Tamandua tetradactyla: one gene and its partners. The protein of the gene in region 1 interacts with the protein of each later gene in a biochemical or structural test. Links are inferred from orthologs where the notes say so. Each region holds a gene or a part of one and is shown in the gene's direction. Other genes may lie near its edges.

Region 1 (7,762 bases):
ATAAGTAGTATTTTCTAAGAGAGACCATACATACTTGTTCTTTTGTTTCTGGCTTATTTTTCACTAAATAATGTCCCCAAAGTTCATTCTCCTCTTTGCATGCCTCATGACTTTGCTCTTCTCTGTAGCCACACAATATTCCATCATGTATACACAACAGTTTGCTATTCTACTTCTCTGTCAATGCATCTTTCAGCTACCTCCATGATGGTTTGCTTTTGAACATAGCTCAATAGCATGCAATAGCAGTTTCCCCCCTGTACCCTGGACTTGAACATTATTTATACAAGAATCGAATCCTTTAATTCTTACGAAAACTCGTTCATGTTTCTAGTGGGAGTCAGTGGGACACATAGGTCTATACAACCCTTTTCAATCTTGTTCATCTTCAGTATGATAATAATACTTCTAGACCCACTAGAGAATCACCTTTGCTCCTATCTATTCACTTACATTGGAATTCAACCTCACTAGCTGACGGTTAACCCATCTCTAGCTTCTATGTATCTCTAAGTCCCCTATATTCTGTATTATAAGCCTCTGATTATACCTTTATGCTGGTCATAAAAGTGGAATCAAACAGTATCTGTCCTTTTGTATCTGGCTAATTTCACTCAGCATTATGTCCTCGCTCATCCATTTTGTCATGTGCTTCAGGACGTCATTTTGTCTTACTGCTGCATATTCCATCGTATGTATACACCATATTTTGTTGATCCACTCATTTGTTGGTGTGCATTTGGTTTGATTCCATATTTTGGTGATTGTGCTCCAATAATGCTGCTATGAACATCAGTGTGCAAATATCTGTGTCATTGCTTTCAGCTCTTCTGGTATATACCAAGTAGTGCTATTGCTGGGTCATAGGGCAACTCGATGTTTAGTTTCCTAAGGAACCACCAAACAGTCTTCCATAGTGGCTGCACCATTATACATTCCCACCAGCAGTGCATAAGTGTCCCAATTTCTCCACATCCTCTCCAACATTTATAGTTTCCTGTCTCTTTAATAGCAGCCATTCTTAGAGGTGTGAGGTGGTATCTCATTGTATGTAGTCTTGATCTGCATTTCTATTTTAGCCAGTGAAAATGAGCATCTCTTCAGGTGCTTTTGAGCCATCTGTATTTTCTCTTCAGAAAAATGCCTATTCATATCGTTAGCCCATTTTATAATTGGATTGTTTGTTCTTTTGTTGTTGAGGCCAACCCTCTTTTAATAGTTCAAATACATTAGGCATTCATTCTTAAAGATGTTTCATGTTTTGCTATATTTCTATTTGGATTCATTTACCCTAGGTTTGCTGCATACCTCTTGTCTTGGTGTATTCCTTTAATAATACTGGTCTTTTTTTTTTTCTTTCTAATTTTTGTTGAACTGCCTCTATATGTGTGTGTTAATCCCATAAATTTATCACCTCTAAATACCTTCCTGAGAAAGTGTGTAGAGAAAAGTATTTTGAGCTCTTGCTTACCTCTTCTCATGCTTGATTAGTTGGGTATAGAATTTTAGGTTGAAAATAATTTTTCCCTTAGAATGTTTTGAAGGCATTGGTCCACTGTTTTCTATATCTTCCAAATGTTAGAGAAATGCAATGCTATTCCCACTCTTAGTTTTTTTGTCTGTGTCCATTCCTCCCCACACCCAACCTAGATCTCTTAGGATTTTCTCTTTGTAATGATTTGAAGTTTCCCCAATAATGCGTCTTAGAGCAGGTCATCTATTGTGCTTAGTACTTTGGACTTTTCATTGTGAGAAGGCAGACTCTTCAGTTCTGAGAAATTTTCTTGAGTTATTTCTGAATTCCAATCCCCCCACCTCCTACCCCCAAAAACAGTTATTTGGATTTTCTGGATTAGTCTCCTAATATATTTTTTTTATTAATTAAAAAAATTAACAACAAACAAAACATTAAGATATCACTACATTCTACATATGTAATCAGTAATTCTTAATATCATTACATAGTTGCATATTCATCATTTCTTAGAACATTTGCATTGATTTAGAAAAAGAAATAAAAAAGACAACAGAAAAAGGAATAAAAAAGAGAAAAAAAAAAAGATTATACATACCATAACCCTTACCTCTCGCTTTCATTTATCACGAGCATTTCAAACTAAATTTATTTTAACATTGGTTCCCCCTATTATTTATTTTTATTCCATATGTTCTACTCTTCTGTTGATATGGTAGATAAAAGGAGCATCAGACACAAGGTTTTCACAATCAGAGTCACATTGTGAAAGCTATATTATTGTTCAATCATCATCAACTTAATATTTTTATATTTGCTGTTTTCCAAATTCTATTCTTTCTGGGAGATTTCCTTAATTTTCTAATCTATTTAGTTTTCTTCTTTTCTGCTCTCATATTTCTAATATTGAAGAGCTTTGTTTGAATATTTTTGACATCCTTAATATTAAAAATTTTCTCAAACTCTTGGCTGTTTGTTCTTTTTTAAGAGTGGAACTCTAAAAGCTGATTGGAAGGTGTTTGTTTTGAATGTAGGCTTCACCCTCCTGTGATCTGGCTGTGCTGTTAGAATGGGGATCCCTGGTATAGGATCCAGATCTTTTCTCTTACACCGGTAAGGTTCCCTTGAGAAAGCTCTATCTCCTAACTCAAGGATATAAGCCAGGCTACTAGCTTTGTAGGAATAGGGTGAGAAAAGGCCAAGAGTCTAAACATAATCCTCCTGTTTTCAGTAAGACCTTGGTGCTTGATGCTTCCCAGGTCAGATGCCACCCATTTACCCTCTTTTTTATATCAGCTTTGGGGAGGGGTAGTTACTTGGGTACAAGAGGAAGAACAAAATCTAGGGATTTATTTGCTTTATTTACAATCTTTCAACCTAGTTTTTAGCCATACCTTTACCTCTACATTCTGAATTATTTGGTATCAACAATTCTTGAGCTTTTGGAAATTCTGTGGTATAGAGTTGCTTTTCTGTTCTCTCACTGCTGGCTTTGAGTGATTAAGTTTTCATGTAAGTTATCTTGCATTTAAAAGCTTTCCACTTTATAAAATTTTTTTTCTCATACTCTTCATTCTTGTGGGTTATTGTCTTTTAAAAATTTACTCTTTAGTAATATTTTAGTAAGGTTTCAGAAGGCAGCAGAGGGTATTGTGTATATTCATTCTTTCATATGCTATCTTTAACTGGTATTCTTGCCTGAAATCTGTATTCCTCTTTTTTTTTCAGGCTAAAAAGATAGTGTAATTTCATTCACACTCAGAGGAGCTGTGCATGTCCTTCTCTCTCATAATATTCTGTTTGCAGTTCAGTGAGGAAACTAGAAAAAAGGGGGAAAATAAACTGGAAAAACTTATTACATAAAGCCCAAACTGTGATATCATGGTTAACACTTCATACATAAGCATTATAAAGTGTTCTGTTCTTGACTTTTGATCTTTCAAATAGATGTGTGCACTTTTTTTAAGATGTGTGTACTTCTGATGTAATATATTTTACCTTATTAACAGTATCACAGTCAATAGCTAGTTATGCCAAGAGTATTTGGCCCAATTTGAGAATTTGGGCCAAATACTTGACTTGAGAATTTAATGGCGACGATGATATTTGTGCCTCCAGTTCCTAGTCTAGCTTACTGTGTGGGCTGGGCAGGGTAAGCACCTACTTCAGTTTCAGATTGGTTTTGCTTCTCAAGCAAGTCCCTTTGCCCAGAATATACTTTCCTACTTAAAATGGTTACTCTACCCTTTTCATTTGCGTTGTAAAATATGGTGCAACAGCTTTTTTTTTTTTTAATTTATTTTTATTTGTACATGGGCAGGCACCGGGAATCGAACCTGGGTCCTCTGGCATGGCAGGCAAGCATGCTTGCCTGCTGAGCCACCGTGGCTCGCCCAACAGCTTTTTTTTTTTAATTTTAATTCTTAACATACAAACATTCCAAACATGCTGTACAATCAATAGCTCACAATATTATCACATAGTTGTACATTTATTACCATGATCATTTTTTAGACCATTGGTGCAACAGCTTTTCGGCTTCTACATGCCTAGTTCTTACACATTAAGAACGCAAAGTACTAAGCTATGCAGACATTTTTGCCTCAAAGTAGTTGGACTAACGCGGGTATGGTTTGGGACCTGTTCACTGACAATACACAAGAACACTGGTTTTCCTGACATCCCTTCAAATGACAAAAGAATAACTTTCTTCCTCCAGACCCTTGCCCCCAACTCCTGTGTGGCCATTTCTGATGCTTTTCTCCCACTCCGCAAAAATACGTTTCATTCTTCACAATATCAATTTTCAACAGCTGTCAAGATTCGGGGCTCCAGAATTATCGGTACCGCCCTTGAACGTCTACAAAGCGCTGTGCATTGCTTAGTAGCACACGGTCCTCACCATCTCGTGGGGCAGCCAGGTAGGATGCTCAGAGGTCACGGCCTGTAGGGTCGCGCAAGTTCGGTCAGCCTTTCCAGGTCCCACGGGGTCAGGGCGCTGCCTGCAAGCACGGAGTATTTTTTCGGGAGGCGCTTCGGCCCACCGGCCCCGCCCCAGCCGAGGTTCCCACACCGGCCACCCATTTCACTCTGATCCAGCCAGTGGTCTTTAAATCTCCTCAGCTAAGATCTTCCCCGACCCTAAAGGAATCGAGGTGCAACCGGCTAGAGTTGGGAAGGAAAACTTCTCGGCACCGGTCAATCTTCATAACCGCAGAGACTGTAATCTGCGTTTCCCTGCTCTACGGCAAGGGGCGCGCGCGTTTACGACAGTGTGACGCTACAAGTTTTGGCGGGAAAAGCGTTGCATTCAGATTCCTGTGGTGGCGGCTAAAGGACAACCTGGTGAGGAGGGGTGGCTGATAGGGTGGATAAGGAGGATGGAGAAGCTCGGGGTCTAGATTAATGAAGAGAGGCACAGTAAGAGACAGTTATCGGTGAAGAGCGAGGGGGACCGGAGACAACTCCCGCGGACTAGTCGTTTGGGAGGGTGGTACCAGTTGGGGGGCGGTCCTCATAGTAGAGGGGAACATGAGAGACTGTTCCTCTGCTGATTGGGAACCCCAGAGGTTTGGGCGCCGCCCGTCGGTGTCCCACTCTTTCCTTCCGCTTCCTCGAACGGTTTGACCCCGCCCCGAGCCCCTCCCGGCCCTTAGGACTTAGTGAGGGTGGGATTGGTACTGAGCAAGGGGGGAGGTGGGGCTGAAGTAGTCAGAGTTGTTCTTTACGCGGACACAAATCTACCGTTCTTACTCTCTTCCTCAGTATTCACCTCTCTTACTCCCTTCCCCAATCTCTTCACCATAAGGGATTTTTTGCCCGGTTCCCCAGCTCCTCTATTCAATTTCCTTTAGGATCCGAGAAAGGCGGGGCTTCAGCTTTCAGTTTGCGTGGAAATGGCGGTGGGGTGGGGTTGTGATTTACCCAACAAAGTGCCTAAATTTGGAAAATTTGATTGTAGTTTAAAGACTTAGATAAAACTTGGATGAGATGTAAGGGAAAACTAAGAGTTGTTATTTATAGTTGGGGAATCATGGCCAGGTGAGAGCTCAGTGACTTTACAGGTGATTGAAGCTCACACTTTTTCCATCTTTCCTACCTTTTACAGCCTTGGAGTCATGGCAGTTCCCTTTGTGGAAGACTGGGATTTGGTGCAAACTCTGGGAGAAGGTGCCTACGGAGAGTGAGTCCTTTTACCCTACCTGCACACCTGCTTAGTATTTCTGTCTGTTGTCTTGAGTACATATTCCTTGTCTTGGAGTTGTTTACAATAATACAGTCGTGTTTAGAAAACACACCTTTACATTTAAAAGCCAGTAATTTTGGAAACTGATGTTGTAAATCTTTTGTAAGGATTAGTGTTTTTTTTTTTCCCCATTTAAAAAAAGTTCCTTTAAGAGTTGGAAGAGACTTCTGAAGTCATTGTTTCCCCTTTCACACGTTCCTTCTTGGGTTGTAAACATAATGGTTAAACGAGCAAATAAGCAGACTGTGGAGACAGACTGCCTGGTGTCAAGTAGTCCTTTATCACATACTGGTCATGGTAGCGTAATCTTAGGCAAACTTCTGAATGTCTTTTTGTGCCTCTTTTTCCTCCTCTATTAGATGGCAATAATAGAACCTACCCAATAGGTGGTTAGAATAGTTTGCCAGAGGTATATAGTATGGGATTAATAAGTGTTAGATATGTGATTAAATTAAACAGATAAAAGATGTATATAGGTGATGTGGCCTAGAAGTGCTGTTATCACAATTTATTTTATCAAATGTTTATTAAATGACTTGCCTGTATAGTATAATGACTTATAGTACTTCACATTTCAGAAAGGAATGATATCTGTTGAGAGCATGGCAGAAACTTTTTCCTTGGTTTCTCCTTGGTAAAGAAAATAATGAAGATAAAATAGTTTTGGATTGAGTCATGTTTAATCTTTTGAGGTTTTAAAAGGGCTATAATACAAATGTTTGGAATATTATAACTCTTTCTTTTCCTTTTTAAGAGTTCAACTTGCTGTGAATAGAAGAACTGAAGAAGCAGTTGCAGTGAAGATTGTAGACATGAAGCGTGCTATAGACTGTCCAGAAAATATTAAGAAAGAAATCTGTATCAATAAAATGTTAAATCATGAGAATGTAGTGAAATTCTATGGTCACAGGAGAGAAGGCAACATCCAGTATCTATTTCTGGAGTATTGCAGTGGGGGAGAACTTTTTGATAGAATAGGTATGGTAAAATAGTGTTCCAAATCAATCTTCTAAAAACTCAAGATAATTATTCTGCTAAACAAAGTTCAAAATTTGTGTTTAAATTTTGGGTCTGATATTTGGTCATTCTTTCAGAAGTGCTTATGTAACCTTGAAATTGGAGTAAATTAGCCTGTTTTTTTTTTGACTTTGGTTTAAAATATAAGTGTATATAAAGTCACTGGAAAGAAATTTTTTTTGCACATCATATTTGTGATTTTGATTGGGATTACCGTTTTATAGAGTTTAAAAATTATATACTTCATAAATGCAATGTCTTATTGCCTACCCAGTTTTTTTTCTTTGTAGCATTCTGGTTTCATGAAATCATTGCATACATCCCAAGATCCAAAATAATAGCATATTATTAGATTTCTTCTTAACATACTTATTAAGTAATATAACTGAGAACCTTCTAGGATTAAAAAATATATGTTAAGTAAATTCTGAATTGGTTCTTATATGTTCTATGTTGATTCAAAGGATTATTACTACAGAGCACATAATTACATAAAATGTATTCTGTGGACCTATTCAAAGCAACTGTATTAATACTTGATTACTGTAATTTCTAATATGTATCTTGGGAGAGAGTTGAGAGTAAACTAAATCAGAAGTTAATGAGGGAGATCAAAATATAAAATGATAAAAAAGAACATTTGTGAATAAAACTTTGTTCCTGAAGGATAGGAGAGGTGGTATGTACTTTAAGTCTATTGTTAAATTTTTAGTGAAATTGGCTTAGGTTTTCCCAGGCTTCTGTACTGGCAGTTAGATTTCAGGAGTGGGGAAGATATTGTTCTATCATTAAGATATTGAGGGAGGATTTGAGGGATAATAAATCAGGCTAAGAGTAAGCAGAGGCTTTCTAAGCATGGTTTACATTCTTAATTTGGACAATAGCTTATAATCTCTCTATAATTTTCCCTTGATATATTTCACCATATTACAAATAGGGAAATGAATTATTAAGTATCATGTGGTAGTGGACTCGTGACTCTTAACTTAAGACTGTTTTTGCTAAAGTTTCTTTCTGTTAAAGTA
Region 2 (7,477 bases), on another chromosome or scaffold:
TGGGACAGGGAAAACTTTCATAAACAGACTCAAAACCCAGAAATCACACAGGACAAGACAGACAAATGTGATACAATAAAAATTTCTATATGGCAAGAGCCAAGAAAAATGTTCTCAGAATATAAATCAGGACAGGGTTACTATCAGTTATATGAAAATGCTCCTATGTATCAATAAAAAGACAAAAACCGAATAAAAAATGGTAAAGTTTTAAATAGGTAATTTACAGAAAAATTCAAATTATTAATAGACATACTAATATAACCAGGGAAATGTATACAAATACATCTAACTGCCTTACCCTAGACCAATTAAATAAGAATCCCTGGGAGTGGGATCCACGTACTTTCTAAAACTCCCCAGGTAATTTCAATGTGCAGCCAAGGATAAGAACTCTTGTTCTAAAACAGTTCTAACTCAAAATGTGGTCCATGGACTAGCAGTGTCAGCATTACTTAGGAGCTTGTTAAAAATGCAAATTATTGAATTCCTTTTCAGATCTAATGAATGAGAATCTCTTGACTTGAGACTCAGGAATCTGTTTTAACAAGCCTTCCAGGCAATTCCTAAGCATGCTGAAGTTTGAAAACCCATACTCTGTAACCTCTCCCCTTAATTTTCATGTATATCACAGTCACTAGGAGTATAGCATCAGATGAAACAGCTGAAAGTATTTTGAGAAAAGCAAAAATATTGATTGCAAATGCAAATAATCCTTATTATTCCCATAAATCTGATATAATCTTAGGGTCATACTTGACAAGGAAAATGACAATAATTCACAACTAAGATATAAATATCCCAACTCAAGGGAAGTAGTCCATGTTATTATTTCTGAATTGCCTCCAAATACAGTGGAGTTCCAGTTTTATAATATATCCTCAGTAGATGTGAAATTGCCACAAAGATAGGAAGAAAAATGACTTAACTTTAAAGTTCTCAAACACTATATGCGTTCCTTTATTAGAACTAAATGTTTTTCATATTAGATTTTTGCAGTATTTCTACTAAACAGGCCAAATGGATTAGTGCAGTTATGTTGTGTTTAATCATTTATTCTACTTTATTAATTTAAGAATGTTGGCTTGTGGCTATGTTGGTCTATTATTTGAGGCTTTTTCTAATGAAAAACAACAGACGTGTTCCTTTCTTACCCATTAATCTATGCCTGACAATACTCAATACTTATTCAAGCTAATGAAGCAGGCAAATGGCATGATTATATCTGGGTTTTGAAAAGGTTGTTTTGTCTGCTGTGTAGAACAACTCCACAGTGATGCGTGTGTGTGTGTACGCAGGAGGTGAACATGGAGACCCATTCAGGTATAGAGAGGAACTTGTAAAACTTCTGGTATTTTTAAAAGATTTCTATTTTAGTGTATACTTTATGATGTACATTAAATAGCAAAATCTTAGACTCTATCATAGACACATTATGACAGAACCTGCACAACTAGCCCTCCAGTTTAGGCATCCAGCCAAGGACAAGTTCATCTTGGTCTCAGCTGGGTTGCAGTGCCACCTGGTGGTTTCCCGCCCTAGTTTACTCATCAGTGGAGACAGGTCTACACACACGGCTGGCTGGAACTTCCTGATCTGGGACACTGCTAGCACCAGCCAAACTGAACCATTCATCTCTCCCTAATAATGCTCTTTACTTTTTATTCACATTGCTGCCTCTAATTAGACTATATTACTCTTCCTCGGTCACTGTCTCTCCAAATCCTACACATCCTTCAAGTCCTATCTCAGATATGGTTTTACCTTTTCCTGGAGCCCCTTTGCATTCCACCTCCTCTCTCCATTGGAGAAGACATACCCTTTTCCTCTTCTATATATTTCATTGTAACCTGTTTATATCTCTTATGCATTTATCAATTTTTGCTTTACTTTTAACTTTTTGCATTCTTACTAGATTGTACATTACTTTGAGATTGACTTTATCGTCCTCTTCTTTGTATCACAGTAGGATCCAGGCAGTACTTTTCAGAAAAATCACTTTTTGAATTAAATTGGATTATTTAATTTCCTATTATTATTATTCTATTACTTCAACATTCGGGGATTCATAGTGTCTTTTAGAATTATAATGCTATTCAGCTATTGCCTTTCAGATAAAATAGCAATTTTTATAATCTTTCTTCATATCTAAAATAGCTAATATTTATTACTTTTTAGTTGATAAAGTGTTTTATATGTTATCTAACTTAAGCTTTTAAAAATATATTTGTGCCAGTTAGAATCTATTATGTACCCCAGAAAAACCATGTTTTAATCCTGATTCTTATCTTGTGGGAGTGGCTGTTACTTTTAATCCTGATTCACTTTTGTAAATGGAAAATTTTGATTAAATTACCCCCACAAAGATGTGTCACGCCCAACTGTGGGTGTGACCTTTTTTTAGATGGAGATGTGACTCTGCCCATTCAAGGTGGGTCTTGATTACTGGAGTCCTTTAAAAGGGGAAACATTTTGTAGAGAGCTCAGAGCAGAGCTGACACAGATACAGACACTTGGGGAACAGAGACATGGGTGTTTGGAGATGCTTGGAGCCCAGCAGACGACGCCATGAGATGTTAGCAAGCCAGAACCTGGAGAGAGCCAAGGGAAGCCAAGAGATGAAAGCCAGCCCCAGAGAAGCAAAGTGAGGAGCCCTCACAGGAACAGAGGCTGAAAGCAACGGAGCCCAGGAGCAGGGGACCAGCAGATGCAGCCACATGACTTCTCACCTGACAGAGGCGTTCCTGACCCATCGGCCTTCCTTGAATTAGGGTTATCTTTCCCAGGATGTCTTGCTTGGGCATTTTTACAGGTTTAGAACTATAAACTTGTAACTTATTAAATTCCCCTTTCTAAAAACCATTCCAATTCTGGTATATCACATTCCGGCAACTTACAAACTAATACATCCAAAAAATGTATACATCCTAACCATACAAAGAATAATATAACATAACAAATATAATGTTAAATTTGCCACATTTACTGAAGAGTCTGTTAAAACCTTCACAAATAGTTTGTCTCAACATTTCATTATCTCCCTTTCTAGAAATACCACTATGAAGTTGATGTATCCTTCCCAACAATGTTTCTATACTTTTGTTATATACGTATGTATACATACCCTGAGCAAGGAATTATTTTGCGCTTTAAACAGTGTACAGGAGTGATATAATACTGTTATGTAGTCCTTTGCAATTTGTTTTTTCACTCACATTATTTTCAGAATTCATCTATCCAAGTACAACATAATTCATTCAAGAAATGGTATTCCACTACACGACTTTAATTTTTACTGCAGTCTCATGAGTTAGATTATTTATGGGTGAAATAAAGTGGAGTGCAAAGAGATGAAATAGAGTTTCATCTCTATAGCCATAGAGTTTCTAGCAGGTGGAATGAGGAGTTGTCCAGGGCTTCCAACTCCTAATCCTATGTTCTTTCCACCACAGCACTCAAATACTCATTCAACAAACCCTTGTTGAACACCGGCTACGTGCCAGACACCGTTTTAGGTCCTGGGGACCTAGCAGTGAACAAAACAGACAAAACTCTGTTTTCAAGGAGCTTATATTCTAATTGCAGGAGACGGTCAATAAAATCATATGCAATATATCACTTGGTTCTGGGCGCCCTGAAGAAAAACCCCGCAGGTCCGCGGGAGCGAGCGTGAGCGCGCGCACCGGCCGGCAGGGGGCGGGGCTCTGGCGACGCCGACGCAGACCGGGGGGAGGGGCGAGGGACCGGCGCCTGGACCCGGGCATGGGCCGCGACGCCAAGGCCCCGAGGCAGGCGCACACCCGGTCGTCCCTCTCTCCTTCCATTTGTTCGCTGCTGTACCGACATGTATCCCCAGGCCAGAGAACACAAGCGAGCACGCTGCACGGCTCCGCCTGGTGGAATACACGGTTTTGCCGTGGAAACAGCCTCTGGTAACGGTCCTCTCTCAGATGACCAAGCCGGGCTGAGGGAAAAGTGTCGAGAGCCAAAACCCAGTGATTTACTTTAAAAGTTAAGTCATAGGTATCCGAGGCCCAGAACGGCGACACAATAATACGGCTAAGGTTTGAGGAGATATATAAACACAAACCAACCCCAATTTTAAAAATTAAAGGTTGTGAGAATCCTCAATAGACGTAACTTTAAATGGAAAAAACCTGCTGAAGTATAGAGAGGAGCGGGAGGAGCCCGCCTTTCCCCCGATTCCCTGAGAAAGGTCGTCAAGGGAGTGGAGAAATGAGGAACCCCTAAAACCTGGGGGCAGGTCGGCGAGGGCGTCTGGGTCGGAACCGCCAAGCCCCCGGCCTCCGGGGCCGCGGGGCCTCCCAGCCCACGGGGCAGCGACCCGCAATTCGGAGCCCAGACGCTCGGACGCGCAGACCCGCGCAGCGCCGGGCTAAGCGCGAACTATCGCGAGACCCGCTCGCCCGCCGCCGGCCCCGCCCTCCCCGCCCCTCCCCCCCGAGTCCTACATCCGCAGCAGCTTCGGGGAGGAGTTTTGGGCCCCGCGAGGCACCGTCGCGTCTTCCCGCTAAAGGTAGCGGTGGTGATGCCAGGTCCCCGAGTCGGCGTCGTGGACGAGTAACGCGCGGCTTCAGCATGGGCGAGCCCGGCCTGGAGTTGGCTTCCATGATCCCGGCCCTGCGGGAGCTGGCTAGGTAGGACCAGGCTTGGCCGCTTTGGGTTCCCGTGTCCTCCCCGGCGGGCCGGCGCCTCACGTGGTTCCCCTCTCTGGCGGCGGCCCTGCCCCGGCCCTCTGAGCACCCGCTTCGGCCTTTGTGGAGACGTTCGGTGACCGAGCTGGGCGCCTCGCCCTCAGAGGCCGGACAGAGGACGCCGTGTGTCCACGCCGTCCGCGGAAGCCGGCCTGAGGAACTGAAGGCGGCTGCCCGCACGCGCCCGGCCCCACGGGGGTGTGTCCGCCGCCGCCGGAGGAGCGGCCCCCGTGGTCGCTTCTGGTCACTCTTCTGAAACCCGGTCGCTTTCCGAAAACCTCTTTCCTTAGTTAAAGGGCCTTGCCCAACACCTTCCCCAATATCTACTCTTAGGTTCGCTCCTGGAGAAGTTAGTATGTTACCGTCTTGTTCCAGAACTGCCTTTGGAAGAAGCATCAGCGGCTCTCATTTTCTGCAAGGACGGTCACTTGTTAACAGCGTAGTTCCTTTCTTCAGAGTGAAGTCGTAAGCCATTCTAGAAGATGTGAGCCCCTTCGTATCCCCCTCCGGTCCCCCACGCCATTATTTTACTCAGGCCGTGGAAATGCCTGGTATCTGAAGAAATCCGACGGATTGGCCAGAGCAATCGCAAATCTAAACTTTCAGTGTTGCATAAATTTGGAGTAAATTTAACATTATTTCCAGAGCAATCGCAAATCTAAGCTTTCAGTGTTGCATAAATTCGGAGTAAATTTAACATTATTTCCAGAGCAATCGCAAATCTAAACTTTCAGTGTTGCATAAATTTGGAGTAAATTTAACATTATTTCATTTGCAAATTTCTGTTTCCTGTTAGCGCTGCAGTAAAGTCAAGTCCACCGGCACCTTAGCGGTGGAGGGGAGAGGTGCTGGTAACCGCAGTCCCCCTGGGACACGTTTCGCAGGCTTCCCAGCTCAAACAATAAGCCTGAAGAGCCCAGGCAGCGGGTTTTGTTCCTGTGTTTACCCTGCCAGTAAGAAGGCTGGTGCTACTACCCCAGATGAGTTGGGATAATAATTTCTTCCCAATTTCTTTAGGTGTTTGAAACCTTTCCATACAAAGTGGAAACTAACATTAAACCGGTGGAATAACTAATTCCCTTTCTTTTTGCAGTGCAGTCGTGTTTATCTCCACTTGTCTACCTTGCAAAGAAATTTAGTCTTTCTCAGTTACATAAATTAGAGGACAGATGAAGAAACCTACATCATTCTTGTGCCAACTGCATCACCCTGTTTTCTGTGTGTGAAATTGTTTCCACTTTTGGTGAATGTTGCAAGTATGCCTTGTGTTAAACAATGTTGCAAGTATATTTTGAGTTAACATTTTGTAAAGTAACTTCTTGACTAAAAGAAGATTCATAAAAGTGCTTCTTTAGGAAGTTGTGCAGATTTCATTTTTCAGACTTACTATTTATGAAGCTCAGTATATTTTCCCCATCTTGCTTTAATGTAGAATTAGTTGGTTAAACTTTCCTTTTCTCTCTTCCTCCATAAGATATATTAATACAAATAATGGTATCTTGGATTTGCATTTGTCTGTTTCTTCAACAGAATGTGTTACCTTTCATTTTATTTATTTGTAGCCATTCCAAAAGAAAGGATAGAAAAACTGACTTATGAATAATTGCCTAATACTTTTAAATTATCATGTCTGTTTTATTGCAATGACTTCAAGCCTTTGCTATTACTAGCTGTGTGACTTTAGGCTAGGTATATAATCTCTGTGAGTAGTATTAGTCTTCTCCTAGACAGTAGTATCCTTATCTTGTTGCTTGTGAATATTAAATGAAATATCATAGACAATATGTTTTAGCCCACTTGCTGGCACAACAAGTCTATATCTCTAAAATAGACATTTCTTGTGGACTAGAACTGAATTCCAACTATCTCTTGGACATCTCCAATTAGTTCCCCCAAATCAGACTCAATATTTTTAAAACTGGATTCCTTTTTCTCCCCAGACCTGTGTTTTGTCCTGTATTAACTCTCGGTGAATGGACTCACAGTTCTCTCTACCCCACTTAACATTCTACCCCACTGTGTTTTTCATCTTCCCACTAGAGGCTCCTACTGTGTTGCCTGGCACATGTTAGGTGCTCAAAATGGTTTGTTCAAGACTTAGATGACTATATGTTTCCTTATACTATGTGATAGCAAACAGATTTTCTACTACGTTCTGTGTTGGTTTAAATTAAAGAATGGAGCTCAAGTTGAATTCATTTAGGCTTGTAGGGTACCATTCCTTAGCTTAACTATTATATCTGTTCCTAATATATATTTTTAAAACTCAATATATGTGTTTTTTCTTAACTTTTTAAAACTTTCATTGTGGAGAATTTCAAACATTTAAAGGAGAAAAAATAGTGTATGTATTAATTCCCCTTCTACCCATCACCCAATAATAATCAATTCATCATACTCCTATTTGCAACTCAGATTACTTTGGAGCAAATTCCAGATATCATTTCATCCATAAATATCAATATTTGGCTTTAGAGGATAAAGACTTAAACATAGTCACAATATCATTATCACACCTACAGAATAATAGTTCCTCAATAATATCAAATATCTAGGCTGTTTAGATTTTCCCAATTTTACTTTTGAAGCAGAGTTCAATTTAGGATCATACATTGTAATTGGTTGGTATGGCTCTTAAGTATTAGTTATAGGTTTCTGCTCTCTTCCTTTGGAATTTATTTGTTGAAGAATCAGGGTTCTAACAGATTTTCCAGATGTCTAGATCGGTACCATCTGATAGAAATATAATGCAAGCTACACAT
Region 3 (7,662 bases), on another chromosome or scaffold:
ACATTCAGCCTGCAAGTAACAAAAGTCGAATGAGCTGTTGTTTAAGCCACAATGACATTTGTTCTTCACTGAAGTCATCCAGAGGCTGGATGGGTTTGGCAGTTCAGCAGAGTTTTCGAGGATTCAGCTCAAGTGATTGCCCAGCTATGCCATTATGTCAGTTTGAAAGTATTTATGTACCCCAGAAAAGCCATGTTTTAATCCTGATTAAATCTTGTGAAGGCAGCCATTTCTTTTAATCCTAATTCAATACTGTGGGGTAAAACCTTTTGATTGGATTGTCTCTGTGGCGATGTGGCACCTCCAATTGTGGGTGTGACCTTTTGATTCGATGGAGCTGTGACTCCACCCATTCGAGGCGGGTCTTGAATAGTTTACTGGAATCCTTTAAAAGAGGAAACATTTTGGAGAGAGTCAGAAATGACAGAGCAGAGCCAACACAGAGGCTGACAGTTGGAGAACAGAGACATGATGTTTGGAGATGCTTGGAGCCCAGCAGATGTTACCATGAGATGTTAAACAAGCTGGAATCTGGAGAGAGCCAAGGGAAGCCAAGAGATGAAAGCCTGCCCCAGAGAAGCAAAGTGAGGAACCCCCACAGGAACAGAGGCTGAGCGCAGTGGAGCCCAGGAGCAAAGGACCAGCAAATGCTACCCATGTGCCTTTTCAGCTGACAGAGTGTTCCAGACCCACTGGCCTTTCTTGAGTGAAGGTACCCTCTTGTTGGGGCCTTAATTTGGACACATTCATTTCCTTATAACTGTAAACTTGTAACTTATTAAATTCATTTTTAAAAGCTGTGCTGGTTTGAAAGGATGCATGTTCCCTAGAAAAGCCATGTTTTAATCTAAATCCCATTTCATAAAGGCAGAATAATCCCTATTCAACACTGTATGTTTGAAACTGTAATCAGATCATCTCCCTGGAGATGTGATTTAATCAAGAGTGGTTGTTAGGCTGGATTAGGGGATGACATGTCTCCACCCATTTGAGTGGGTCTTGATAAGTTTCTGGAGTCCTATAAAAGAGGAAACATTTTGGAAAATGAAAAAGATTCAGAGCGAGCAGAATGACATAGCCACGAGAAGCAGAGTCCACCAGCCAGCGACCTTTGGAGATGAAGAAGGAAAATGCCTCCCAGAGAGCTTCATGAAACAGGAAGCCAGGAGAAGTTAGCAGATGATGCTGTGTTCGCCATGTGCCCTTCCAGCTGAGAGAGAAGCCTGACTGTGTTTGCCATGTGCCTTCTCACTTGAGAAACCCTGAACTTCATCAGCCTTCTTGAACCAAGGTATCTTTCCTTGGATGCCTTTGATTGCACATTTCTACAGACTTGTTTTAATTGGGACATTTTCTCGGCTTTAGAACTGTAAACTAGCATCTGATTAAATTCCCCCTTTTAAATACCATTCTGTTTCTGATATATTGCATTCCAGCAGCTAGCAAACTAGAACAAAAGCCATCCATTTCTGGTATATTGTATTCCAGCTGCTTGCAAACTAATACACCCATCTTCAGTGTATTGGTGACTCTCTGCTCATTAGTGACAGGAGGGCTGTACAGGTGTCAGCATATATCTTCACATTAGAGCAGCTGAACCCTGAGAAAGAAGCAAGTGGGGTAGGCATAGGAAATTGTCTCTTCGTTTGGCAGGGGTTATCTACAGTGGGTTCATATTGCAGTGCTGGCAATGTGACCTAAGTGGGAGCTGGCTGGAGGTTTCTGTAAATGTTTTCCCCCTCAGTGGAAAAGGCTGTAATAAGGAGGAAGACTTTCTGACGTGAGAGGCTTAGGCCAACCCTAATTTATCCCCCAGAGCTGCCCAAGTAAAATCAGATTCTGGTGACTAGGAAGAAGGGATGGCATTCAGATAAGGGTGGAGGAGATTCCTGGTTTTGCACCACACCCTTCTGCTGCCTTCCATCCTAGAAGAGGTAAAGTTAAGCACATAACCAGCCAGTTAGATGCTACATTGCCCAGCCTCCCTCACTGTTAGAGAGGGTCATTGGCTAAATACTCACAAATGGATCAGGAGTGGAAATAATGTAATCACTTGTTGTTCTTATTAAAGAAAATTGAGTTTAAAGAAAATTGAGTGTCCTGGTCTTCAGGCCTTTCCCTTTTCAGAGCTGGAATGCTGATGTGCCTGCAGCAATGTGAATGAGACATGAGAATGGTGTGACAATGGGTTGCTGAATGAAGTGCAGGAGAGCCACCCACCTACCAGGTCCATCTCCATCTGACTTGATACAGGAGAATGAAATAGACATCTCTTATCTCCAAAACCACTATACTTTTGGTCCTCTCAGAATAGCATAACTAATTCTGTAGGCAGTCAACAGTCTCAGCCATAACCCCATCCCCAACTGTCCCCACTCTGGCTTAGGCAGCATTCTGTCTATATGAATGAAGACAACACTAGCCTCTAGGCTCCTCCACTACCCATTCATATCCCATTGCCAGCCAAAGTGATTCTTCTTAAATGCAATTTTAACCCTGCCACACGCCTGCCAAATTTTTCTGATAACTTTCTGATACCTGTAGAATTAAAGTCCTAGCCCTTTAGCCATGACCTGGCCTCTGTGCAATTGTCATGTCATGAGCTGCACCATGGAGAGGCCTCATGGCAAGGAAACAAGGGAGGCCCCACCCAATGGCCAGTGTGGAGCGGAGGCCCTCACTTCAATACCCTACAGGGAAATGAATCCTGTCATGTGGGTGAGCTAGGAAGTGAATCCTCCCCCAGCTGAGCCTTCAGATGAGACAGCAGCTCCAGGCAGTATCTTGACTGTAGCCTGGTGAGAAACATCAAGTCAGAGGTACACAGTTAAGTCATACCCAGATCCCCAATCCACGGAATCTTGGGATAACAAATGTTAATTGTCTTGAGCTGCTAAATTTGGGGATAATCTGTTACACAGCAATAGATAACTAAAACAATCCCATCCACTATCTCTTCTCTAGTTTTTCCCTCAGCATTCCTTTGGCAATTCCTTCCCAGCATCCTTTGTTGGTGTCCGTCAAGGTTTAAAGCTGTAGATACCCCAGAAAAATATACACTTAAATCTAGTCCAATCCTCCGGGTGTGAAGCCATTGTAAAAGTAGGGTCTTTTGATCAGGCTATTTCAGTTAAGGTGTGGCCCACTTCATTCAGGATGGATCTTAATCCTACTACTGGAGTCCTTTATAAATGGAATTAATGCAGAGAGAGAAAGAGAAAGCCATAGAAGCAACAAGCTGAAATCAACAAAACATAGAAGAGAAGGGAGAGACCAGCAGATGCCACCATATGCCTTGCCGTGGTTCAGCCAAGGATTCCTGGCAACTGGTCTCCAGGAAGAAAGCATTGACTTGATGATGGTTTGATTTGGGCACTTTCTTGGCCTCAAAATCTGTAAACTAATAGATTCTTATCATTTAAGCCAACCCATTTCATGGTATCTGCTTTAAGCAGCCTAGGAAATGAAAGCAGTATCTATTAACGGTTGGGGCTTCTTGAAGAAGGCCCAGTCTTAGGCCTTCTTCTCTCCTCACTGCACTCATTCTCTGGATTATGCAATCAGTCCCAAGCCCTCTATAGCTTTATCCCGTCTCCTGATTCCCAGACCTGAATATCCAGTGGCTTCCACTCAGAACCCATGTGGAACACAGCCAGAAAACAAATTAATCTGCTGCCCGCATCCCCAACCTCACTTCCCCAATTAGCTTGTCTTCCTCCCGTGTTCCCCATCTCAGAGATTGAGCCTCATCCTCCTAGTCTCCTAGGCCAGAATCCTGGTGCGATCTTGGATCTCTCCCTTTGGCTGTCCTTTAGCATCTTTTAAACACCTCTTAGATGTTTCCTGTCCTCACCATGTCTCCTGCCCCTACCCTGGGCCTAGGTCCCATCTAGAGGAGCTTGTACACAGCACAGAGCACCTGGCCAAGGCCGCTGAAATCCAAGCCCTGCCTCTGCTCACCAAGTGAAGTGCCTTAGCCAAGAGTTGCCTGTAACTGGAGGAATAAACTGGAGCAGCTTCCTCCCTCATTTGCCACCCTTCCGTCTGGTCGTGTCCATCTCCACCCTGTATTAGCCTGAGGGGGGTTTCCTAAAGCTCGCTTCTGTCTCACCTTGCTCTTTTGTGGCTCTCCATTGCCCTCAGGATAAGATTCACATTCCCTAGGCAACACTTACTTTTGTAAATTGTGCGCTCTAATCTCAAATCTTGTCTCTTCCTGAGCATCCCAAGTTTTCACGCTGTCTCAGGCTTATGTCTCTGCACATAACATTCTTTTCTACTTGGAACATCCTTCCTGCATCTTTACTCCCTTTGTGGAGGACAGATCTACTAGATGCCGCTTCCTACAATGCCAGGGATCTTTTCTGTGCTTTAAATACTGGGCCTTAGAGCTCTCAGAGAAGTTGTCCTCTACTAAAACAGTCAGTAGGCCATATAAACAAGCTCTGTTGAAGGGATCAGCCACTCAGACCCCAAGTGCCTCTTCTATAAAACAGCCAGAACTTGACCAAGGCTCCAGTTCACCCACATCCAAAACCAGGGGCTAAACCGCTGCGAGTGGGCACACTTGGCTGCGCCCTCTGGAGGCGGGGCCCGCAGGCCGGCGTGGGCGGAGCCGGATTCGCTGGCCCGCCCCTCGCGCGCGCCGGCGGGACGGAAGTCGGCGTCACGACGCTGTGTTCATTACTCCCGACGCTTCCCGGGCTCGGGTGGGTCACGTGAGTCACTTTTCGCGCGAAATTCGGCGGCTGCCTGAGGAGCGGGAAGGAGCACGGCGTCGCGATGGCGGTGAGCTGGCCCGGGCGCGGCGGCGTGGGGTGGGGCGGGCACTCCCCGCGCAGGCTGCACGTTTGTACGGGCTGTGCCGGGCGGAGTGTAGACGTGCGTGGCTTGTCTAGTCCTCAGGCGCGCGCCCTGCTCCCGCCCCGCTTCACGGCCCCGGCGAGTTCCGGTGGTCCGGGCAGAGCTTGGGAACCCGCTTCTCTCTTTTCCTCCCCTTTTCCGCGGTGTGAAAAGCAAGGGGGCCCCGCAACTGTCCTTTTCCTTCGCAGCAATCTAGGCTCCCGAAGCCGAGCCCGGCTGGCTCGTGTCCTATCCTTTACTCCGCCTGCGCATGCTTACTGGGCGCCATCTCCCTGCCTGGTCTTGGGCAGACGCCAGACTAATTGTGTTGTACTGTTTTATTGCCCGTCCCCGTCAGTCTGTGAATTCCAGACCTGGTATATTTGGGTTGCTGTTGTAGCCTGGCACTTTGTGGGGGCCCAAATGGGTCGGATGCATGCTTAAAAAAGGTGAAAACAGACTATACCAGGGCAAATAAACAAATGGCATAGCACGAGTGATTTCTCAGGTAAGCAGTATCTGAGCTGGGTCCTGGATGTTGAGAAGCCAGTGGCTTCTTGAGATCAGGGGAGAGCCCTGCAGACAGAGGGAATAGGAAGTACCAAGGTCCTAAGACTGGCAGGGGGCTTGGTGTGTTTGAGGACAGGGTCATCAGGACTGGTGAAGGGAGAGATTGGTTGGAGATCAGATGGGAGGGGAAGGTCACCCCTTAAGACAGAAGGGAGGCTGTGTCAGCCCTCATCTCACCAGTTTTTAACAGCAGCAGCTTTTCTTGCAGGAGTCATCTGAATCCTTCACAGTGGCATCCAGCCCAGCCCAGCGTCGGAGAAATGCTGATCCTCTTACCTCCAGCCCTGGCCGAAGCTCCCGTCGCACAGATGCCCTGACTTCCAGCCCTGGCCGGGACCTTCCTCCGTTTGAAGACGAGTCCGAGGGGTTACTAGGCACAGAGGGGCCCCTGGAAGAAGAAGAGGATGGAGAGGAGCTTATCGGAGATGGCATGGAGAGGTATCTGAGACCTTGGACTCAACAGATTGCTTTGTTTGCAGAAAGCCTATTGTGTGCCTGGCAACCTTTCTAGCATCAATTAAAATCCTTCTTTGCCCTTGCGCACAGCTCGATCTAGGGTCTAGGGGGAAACTAGACAGATTCATGGAACCCCAAAAGAGGTCCATTTAACTCAGAAAGGCTAGACCCTAAGGCCTCAGTAAGCCCCAACTCCATGAGGTCATGGGGAATGCAGAAGGGCCACAGCAGGAGGTGCCAATTTAGTAAGTGGGCAGCCACGTGTTTCTCTGCTGCTTTTCAAAGAAGCGGTGTGATGTGGGTCCAGTTAATCAAGACTTAGCTTTGTTCTAGCAAACGTTTATTGGGCCTACTCTACCAAGATGTGAGTTATATACCTTCACATTTATTATCTCATATAACCCTCATAAGAATAAACATGTATTAAAGGTCATTGAGACTTAATATTAAGACATGGTGGAGTAAGCGCTGCAAGTGAGAAGGTTAGATCTCTACTCCTAGCCTGTATTCACTGCTTGGATTTGGTAGATACTTTAGTATCTTTAGAATTGTGTGGTTGCTCAGGAGCCTCATGTGAATTCTCCTTTTGTGCCTATCTTTACCCTCACTTTGGGGGTCCCAAACTTAGTGGATGTGAGACTGCTATACGGGCCATGGCACAAAAGGTGAATGCTACTCTTTATGAGCCATTTAAGGGATTTTCATAGGTACCTTGGCCATATAGGGTTTTTCCTTTAAAGACTTCCCGTAGAACCTTACACAAGTATGTGTTCAGCCCTAGCCAGCCTATAGGAAGGAATAAAGACTCTTTGGAGAAATCTCCTGGACCTAGGGACAGGATATACAATATGGGTGGCTTCCCTGTTGTAGGCTATGGAGTTTTCAGGCAGGATGCCCCTCCCCAGCCTTCTCTCTCCTGGCCTTTCTCTTTGTTTCTCTTTCCATGTTTCATGGAGAGTGAGAGACATTGTAGGGAGCCTCAGGATAGAGGCATCTAAGCTGGCTGCCGTTGAGTTAGGTTTTGGGTGTGTGTGTGTTTGAAACAACTTTATTGAGGTGTAATATAAAATTCACCGTTGTAAATGTTGAGTTCCATGCTAAGTTGTGCGACCACCACCACAATCCAGTTAAAACATTTTTCCATCATCCCAATGAAATCCCTGTGCCTTTTTTACAGTTAATCCCCCACCCCTACTCTAGGCAACCACTAATCTACTTTCTGTCCCATAGAGATTTGCTAGTTTGGCACATTTCATATAAATAGAATCATATAATAATGTGGTCTTTTGTGACTGGCTTCTTTCACTTAGTGTAATTTTCAAGGTTCATCATTATTTAGTAGCGTGTGTTGGTACTTCATTTCTTTTTATATATTTATTTTTGGGGGTGGATATACCATATTTAGTTTATCCATTGATCAGTTGATGGCCATTGGGGTTGTTTCTGTTTTCTTTTTTTTTTTTTTAACTGTTAATGAATAATGGTGCTATGGCTGTTTGCCTTTGAGTCTTCCTCTGAACATGTGTTTTCATTCCTCTTGGCTATATACCTCTTGGCTATATCCCTGGATCAGACGGTAACTCCGTTTAAGCTTTTGAGGAACTGCCGGACTGTTTTCCAAAGAAGCTGCACCATTTAGCAATCCCATAAGCAGTATATGAGGGCTCCGGTCTTCAACACCCTTTCCTAACACTTGTTATTTTCTTTTTGATTCTAACCTCCTGGTGGGTATGAAGTGAAGTTTCATACCACTTTTGATTTGCATTTCCCTAGTGACTAATGATGTTGAGTGCC
Region 4 (7,277 bases), on another chromosome or scaffold:
TTTGGCTTTAACCTGCTAGCCAGTGCTTTTCAATTTGTGGGTCATGACTCACTAGTGGGTCATAACATTAATTTTAGTGGCTCGTGTTTTTTTTTTAAAGTGAAACAATAAAACAGGAAATAGTATATTACATGTAGCATGAGTAATTTATTTGTTGAGAATCTTTTGAGATGTGAGTTGCTTGTGTGCTCTGGCTATGGCTCCAAAGACCCTGCTTTAAGCAACGGAGAGTCCTTGAAACAGAGGGTGGAGGAGGAGATCAGATTTGCATTTAGAAAGAACACTAGGGTTTTAGAGCTCAATGGAAGACTTAGGAGTCTGCTGATACAATGAGGAAGAGGAAGGGTAGATGGAGGTACTATATCCTCTCATGGGGACAGTGAAGGATAATGGGTTTGGAAGGAAAGAGAAATCGATTTACAACAAGTAGAGCTTGAGTTGCCAGTGGGTCATTCTGGGTGGATTCAGAGAAGGAGCTGGGGTTGAGGAGGGAGACTTCAATTGAGTATAAAGACTTGGGAGTTCTCTGGGATGAGGGAGAAAGGTACAGAAGTACTGGGGGTAGGTGAGATGTCTAGGAAGCACTCATGAAGGAATGTGGGCTATCCTAGAGCAAACACTTAGACATGAGATAGGATGTAGCCTGTGATCCAAATATAATCTGACAAAGCTCGTTATTCAGCATAACCCAGGGCAAATTCTAATTATGTTTTAGAACCATGTAATCTCTGGGTTGCTTTTTTTTTTTTTTTTTAAACTCTCTGGGGTTTGATGACCTTAAAGCTCATGTAGGTCAGTGGTTCAAATCTGTTCAAATCTGTTTCAGAACAATTCAGACAGCTTTCTGAACATATGGATTCCAGGGACCCACATCAGGCCAAATCAAAATATCTGAGACACCGGAGGATCTATATTTCAGAAAAAGCCCTCCACACACACACACCCCAAATTGGTAGTCATTAAAAAAAGAACTCTACCTGCTGATATTGAACTATACCCAAGATACACAAAGTAAAAAAGAGTGAGGTTCAGGATAGTTTATAATAAGCTATTATGCATGTAAAAATAAACTGTGTGGAGAATATGTACCTATACTTGTTAGCATAAGCACAGGCTCTAAGGGATAAAAAAAAATTGACTGCAGCGCTGACCTATGGGGAGGAGACAGGGCTGAGGACAGGGAGGAGAGGGAGACATTTTACCCTAGGCCTTTGTTTGGTATCACCTGGATTTGTACATTGTAAATGGATTACTTACTCAATAAATAAATAATTGCATAAAAGCTAAAGTTCCCCAGATGATTCTGATGTAGGATCAATATTCGAGAAAACCTAACTGTAGGTATCCCTCCTCACTCTGCAACATCTAGGACAGTGGACATACAGCCTCCTGGATTGCTCATTTCACTTTGGAAAGCTCTGTTAGTTCTGACTTGACTTCTTGGTGCTGATTTTAAACCTTCTAGCCTCCAAGGAGGCTCATGCTGAACCGTAACCATGCAGAAAAATTCCAATCTTGCTACCAGCAGAGTTGTGTGAAAGAAGAATGGGCATGTGTAAAATACTGAATCAGAGAAAGGATGTTTATTTCTCTACAGAAAATAAGTCTTATAAATTGATGGAAAAAGTGCTTTTTGTTTGTTTGTCTGTTTAGCACTGGGAATACCTATTTCAAATAAACTATACACGGCATTGCAATATACAATGCAGATTAAAAGGCCAAGCTGCTATGGTATGACAGGGAGCAACCCCTGATTGAATAAGGAGTCTGGAGCCCTGCTGGGCTTAGTGGTTCAAGACACAATTGTGGTCCATCTCTCATATCACCCGCATGAAGGCATTAACCCCTCCCCAGTTCAAGTTACCATTCTATTTTACAAGGACTGTTGGGAATCCTTTCCACACTCTACCTTTGCCCTTTTTTAATCCATTCTCCACTCCCAGGGTTATCTTTTTAAAATGTAAATGCAAACCTTTTGATCTTTTTCCCATTGCTCTTGGGGCAATGTCCAAATTCCAAAATGTGGCCTATAAATCTTGCCCACTTTTCCAACTTCCTCTCTTCCACTTGCTCTCTGCCAAAGCCACACTCAAGGGGCTCCTTACAGCCTCAGGGCCTTTACATAGGGCCTGCTCCTCTGCTCAGAAAGTTCTTTCCCCCATGAAGACTTATCCTTCTGATCAATTCCTCAGGGATTCTCTGACACATCAGACTAGATCAGATTCCCTCTCAGACACCCTCAAAGCACTCACACTTTGTCTTTGTAGCACTTAATCAGCATGTACTGAGGGGTCCCCTGATGCAGGCATGGCCTGAGGTGCTGCAGATACTACAGTAGGGAAAAGGAAAGGTAGGGTCTCTGCCCCTACTGAGTTTCTAATCAATTGGGAGTACTCAACCCAATAAAATAATCATAGAAACAAATGTAAAGGTGTGAGGAGTGCTCTTCAGGAATGGAACAAGGAGCCTAGAGGGTGGAGATAACAGAAGAATCTATCAGTCAGGGCAGAGCTTACCTGAGAAGGGGAAGGAGGCAAGGAGGGCCTTTCACTCCTGTATTTGACCACGAAATAAATACCAGTTGTACATTTACAGTGAATGTACACACACAAAAAAAGTTGAAAATGTTGACAGCTTTCTTTAGAAGTGGTAAGATTACAGATGATTTTTTAAATTATGCTTATTTTCTAATTCAATCATGATTTTGCATTATTTGCAAAAGTTGAAAAGTTTTTTAAAATAAATCTTTAATTGTAGTTCTTGAGCAGAGGTAATGGGCATCATCTGTACCAGACATTAAAATCCCCTACACAAATATGCAATCCCAAATAAGCAGATGTGCTCTAAAAATGCTGTCTCAAGACAAGTTCTTCCGCACTTGATTAATGCACATTTATTAAAACCATTCTAGGTACCACCGCTGGTGTAGCGGCCATAAAAATAAATACGGTCACCTATAAAGTGGCATAATGATTCCTATCTCACAGAGTTGTTTTAAAGTCGAAATGAATAGAGGAAAAGCATTGGAACAGTACCTGGTACACAATAAGCACTATATAAGCACTAGCTATTATTACTTTTACTAGTATTGCTATTTACCAGCTCTCATTTGGTAAAAAAGGGCTAAGGATAAAAAAATTACTCTAAGAGAACACAGAAGGCTTATAATGCTGAGGCCTGCAGCCCAGTGTGGTCGAAAACCTTTCAGATGAAGCTGACATCTGCAAAATCATGGTGGTTGAGGGGGTTCCTAGCACCAGAAAGTGAGGGAATGAGGCCTGTTTTAGAGTTGCTCTATCAATTTTAGTTCAGTCACTCAATTCCCTCCCTTGTTATAAAGCTGGGACACAGCGGCGCCTGAGGAAAGGAAAGAGGTCGAGTAAGGCTGGGTCTTGCCTAGTCGGCCAGACCTCCAGAAGCTCTGGTCTGATTTCTCTAGCCTCTACATTCCCCCGGGGCGTGGGGTGCGGGGCGGGGGCCAGGGACAAGGTCGACGCGGCCTAACGAGGTTAAAAGATACAGGACTGCCGCGCGGGCCGTGAAAGGACGCTGTTGGGCCGGAGGGGCCAGGAAGAACTACACTTCCCAGCATTCAACTCGGCCGGCGCCTCGCAGAACCTGTTGGGAGTTTTCATTGACCTTTGCTCCCCCTCTCGTTTCAACCCGCCCCGGTCTCCTCTGGGCCCCGCCCCTTTCTGAGAGCGGGTGACCTCGCAAAGCCCCGCGACCTGCTTCCTTCCTCCCCTTTCATTGGTCCAACCTAGCTGCCAATCGAGAGCAAGAAGGAGAAGTTATTTACTGATTGGTGGATACCGTTTGGCGCCAACTAGGAAAGGGAGGCGGGGCAGCGGCAGACCCCAGAGAGCAGCTACTACTGCGAAAGGCATCCTCCTCTGTGGCAGTCCCGGTAGGAGGTGAAGGTCTGCTTCTTGTTTAGTGACTCCGGGTTGGGCAAGGGTGTGAGGAAAAAAGAGTAGTGTGTGAGCCCAGGCCGTTGCCTCGCGGCTCTCTCTCGCCCTCCCTTTCCGACACGCAGCGTTTGTTTGAATTTAATCTTAAGATTGCCGGCGCCCGCCCGCCCGCCGGCCTCGCGGAGTAAGGTTGGGGACACCCGTGCTTGTAGCTGGCACCTGCCTGGTCCAGACACCCGCCCGGCCGCGCCGCTTGCCGGCGGCTGGCGGCCTCCCTGAACCGTAGGGTCGTGTTTGTGTTTGACCCACAAGTGCCGGCGGCGGGTCGCGCGGCGGAGGCCGGTGCCGGCGGGGCGAGGCGGGCGCGGTGGAGGCGGAGGAAAAGGGAGCCCTGGGGAGTCTGGGCGCCGCCATGGAACTGGGCCCGGAGCCCCCGCACCGTCGCCGTCTGCTCTTCGCCTGCAGCTCCCCTCCAGCACCTCCGCCTGTAGTGAAGGCGCTCTTCGGTACGCCTGCCGCCGGAGGGCTGTCGCCTGTCACCAACCTGACGGTCACCATGGACCAACTGCAGGGGCTGGGCAGGTGAGCAGGGGACCAGCGAGCAGCACCCTAGGCTGCGGGCCTGTCGGGCGGCCCTCGGGGAGATTAGCTGGAAGAGAGGCGCGATCAGCCCTCCTGGGTTCGCCGCTCCGGGGCGGCAGGGCCTAGCTCCGGTCCCGCCATGTGCACTCTCCCCACGGGCGGAATGTTGGGCGGGAGAAGCCGTTCGGACCCTCCAGGGATCCCCTGAGCCCTGAGCCAGGCCCGGTAAGGGGTGGGGAAGCCCCGGCCTTCGCTACCTCTTTTTGGTTACCCTGTACCCCGCTTCTCTTACCTCCCTATTTCAGAAAGCTCTTTGGAACCTTTCCCGAAGGGGCAAAAGCATGCCCTCCTGGGCGCCACTTCCACCGTTTGCTGAACCTCGCAGGATCTTAGTTTCCTGTGAGCTTTGTTCCTTCCCAACAAAGGGACCTGGCATTTTCTTTCCTGGAGTTGGTGCAACATCATCGCAGTTCTTGTCCCATGCGCATTCTTGATGGTCACTCCTTTGCTTTCCAAGGCCAGGCTTTTACCCAACCTCTTCACTGAAAACTCCCGGGATTTTCCTTATAGACCAAAAAAAAAGGGCCCAACAGTGTTTCTGGTGAAGCTGCTTTTTCTCCAGTCTTGGGCACCCTTCTTTCTGTCTAAATACACGTCTTGTTAGCTTCGCAGTCTTTGAAAAGCAAGAACTCTGTCCTATTCCTTTTTAATCCCTACTCCTAGTACAGTGCTTAGAACGCATGTTCTCATTTCAGGAACTATTCCAGCGTTTGTTGTAGTCATATCATACGGTGTGGTCCATATGCACCCACAGCTTTCTACGTTCCTTTTATGCTCAAATGCAAACTTGGTGCTCTGCGTGGAAAAATAGGATCCATGTGGTGTCATGCAAGTAATGGTGGTTCGTGACAGTCTGGGCATTTGCTAATCTTGTGGCCTGCCCCTTGTATTTAATCTTTAATTAATTCCTAGAAATAGTTCATGTAGAATGATTTTATCTTGGTTGCAGTGAGTATGAACAACCTGTGGAGGTGAAGAACAGTAGCAGTCTGCAGAGAATGGGCTCCTCCGAGTCAACAGATTCAGGTATTCTTTCAGCCTTCAGCAAGCATCGTGTGTATGCTTGGGGGTGTGGGGAGATAGATGGTGAGCAACACAGGGGGTTTGCTGAAACAATGATCTTTTACCAAGGGACTTCGCAAATGGTATTAAGAACAATTTGAAGGAACCCCTGTGTCAGTTCATAATGAGAGAAAACAAGTTTAAGTGTTTGCAAGCAATAGGTGTGGCTGGGTCTTCAAAGATGAATAATATGAGCACTGTACCACTCTAAGTGACATTTAGAAAATCTCATTGATTAAAATGTGGGATTGGGCAGTGCAACTGTAGCTCAGTGTCAGAATTCTCACCTGCCATGCCAGAGATCCAGGTTCGATTCCCAGAGCCTGTCCATGATCCCCGCCCCCCCCCCAAATGTGGTATCAAATTATTGGAAGTAAAATGAAATGGAGTGAGTTTGCTCTGGAGGAAAGGTGCCAGTAATACGTTTGGTGTTACTCTGGGATTTATCTATATCTGCACAGACAAGAACATTTGGGGCACAGCTTTAGGTTAGAGGACTCAAGAGCAAATGTCTTTAAATGTAGGGTTCTTGAGAACTGGGGAAAGAATTATTTGTGGCAGTGGGGCAAGCAAGAATACCAATCAGGAGTTGACACCTAGTTTTCCTATGAGACTTAGATGTCAGCAGGGACAGAGGTGTGCACTAAGCAGGCACTGTTGGGTTTTGGCCATTCTGAGACTGGCACATGGTAACATGAGTAGGGTCTTCTTTGCCCTACTGTCCTTGGGGAGATGGACATCCTCCTCAGTGCCATTCTGTTGAAATACATGCCTTATGTGTCATATGACTTATGATTTATATTTTCCACACCAAATTTATGCATGCGATCTGACAAGATAAAATATTCAAAATAAAAAAAATATCCAGAGAAATCTGCCAATTATTTTTTCTATGGTTGGAACTCAGGGAAATTTACCTGGGTCACCTTTATCTGAATACTAAGCAGTCATGATGTGAATTAGTTTAACTCACCTCCTCAACTCCTATTTCCCATCATGGTAATTGCAAGTAGAAGAGAATCAGTAGATAAACTCCAGTCAAATAAACTGGGCTTCAATTCTGGCAAAAGTACAGTTTGAGGGTTTTTGTTGACTGAATTAAGAAACCAGATTTATTTATTTTAATGATAAAATAGTGTTTCATGTATGATTTCCTGGGATTTAAACACTTTGAAAGCATAAGAGACAATATTTGAAGTGGAAAAGTGAGATTCAGCAGGTAAATGGAAGCTCCTGTCAAAGGAATGAGGAATGTTTATAGAGTAACTTGAGTTGCAGAGATTGATGGCAAATACAAGCACTTTTTTTTTTTTAATTTCCCACAGGCTTCTGTCTGGATTCTCCTGGGCCCTTGGACAGTAAAGAAAAGTATGTATTCACTGCTTTTAAATGTTTGTGCTTAGGAAAAAGTTTTTTTTTTAATTTGTAAATGAAATTCTCACTCTCTGGCCTGGAGCCCTGGATTGAGCAGTCCCTATCAGATTTCCAGATCCTATAAACAGTCTGGTATCTTTTGAGGAGTGATTTATGTCAACAATTTACAGAACCATCCCTCCTTTATTTTAGCTTGTAATTCTGGTATTCTGATCAGGTCTCACCCAAACCCCTTCACTCTATGTCGTCATAGCCTTGAAAACATTTGTGTTTTAAGAGATCTGGGTT

Evidence for each region.
Region 2: of the proteins of CHEK1 (region 1) and ATR, one has a biochemical effect on the other in vitro, tested with the Homo sapiens proteins (7 studies listed by BioGRID, with this or other methods). The link is inferred for Tamandua tetradactyla from reciprocal best matches to the Homo sapiens genes CHEK1 and ATR.
Region 3: the proteins of CHEK1 (region 1) and MCM2 form a complex in vitro, tested with the Homo sapiens proteins (2 studies listed by BioGRID, with this or other methods). The link is inferred for Tamandua tetradactyla from reciprocal best matches to the Homo sapiens genes CHEK1 and MCM2.
Region 4: of the proteins of CHEK1 (region 1) and CDC25A, one has a biochemical effect on the other in vitro, tested with the Homo sapiens proteins (7 studies listed by BioGRID and IntAct, with this or other methods). The link is inferred for Tamandua tetradactyla from reciprocal best matches to the Homo sapiens genes CHEK1 and CDC25A.

Annotation. Positions count from the first base shown.
Region 1 is NC_135334.1:11,927,706-11,935,467, reverse strand, and holds the start of CHEK1 (serine/threonine-protein kinase Chk1), read left to right. Parts: upstream 1-4,753; 5' UTR 4,754-4,819; intron 4,820-5,582; 5' UTR 5,583-5,592; coding exon 5,593-5,657; intron 5,658-6,474; coding exon 6,475-6,698; intron 6,699-7,762. UniProt on the Homo sapiens protein: Serine/threonine-protein kinase which is required for checkpoint-mediated cell cycle arrest and activation of DNA repair in response to the presence of DNA damage or unreplicated DNA.
Region 2 is NC_135341.1:86,773,872-86,781,348, reverse strand, and holds the start of ATR (serine/threonine-protein kinase ATR), read left to right. Parts: upstream 1-4,477; 5' UTR 4,478-4,599; coding exon 4,600-4,658; intron 4,659-7,477. UniProt on the Homo sapiens protein: Serine/threonine protein kinase which activates checkpoint signaling upon genotoxic stresses such as ionizing radiation (IR), ultraviolet light (UV), or DNA replication stalling, thereby acting as a DNA damage sensor.
Region 3 is NC_135335.1:30,176,850-30,184,511, forward strand, and holds the start of MCM2 (DNA replication licensing factor MCM2), read left to right. Parts: upstream 1-4,660; 5' UTR 4,661-4,782; coding exon 4,783-4,788; intron 4,789-5,620; coding exon 5,621-5,850; intron 5,851-7,662. UniProt on the Homo sapiens protein: Acts as a component of the MCM2-7 complex (MCM complex) which is the replicative helicase essential for 'once per cell cycle' DNA replication initiation and elongation in eukaryotic cells.
Region 4 is NC_135341.1:38,163,550-38,170,826, forward strand, and holds the start of CDC25A (M-phase inducer phosphatase 1), read left to right. Parts: upstream 1-4,269; 5' UTR 4,270-4,323; coding exon 4,324-4,493; intron 4,494-5,502; coding exon 5,503-5,579; intron 5,580-6,940; coding exon 6,941-6,983; intron 6,984-7,277. UniProt on the Homo sapiens protein: Tyrosine protein phosphatase which functions as a dosage-dependent inducer of mitotic progression. Directly dephosphorylates CDK1 and stimulates its kinase activity. Also dephosphorylates CDK2 in complex with cyclin-E, in vitro.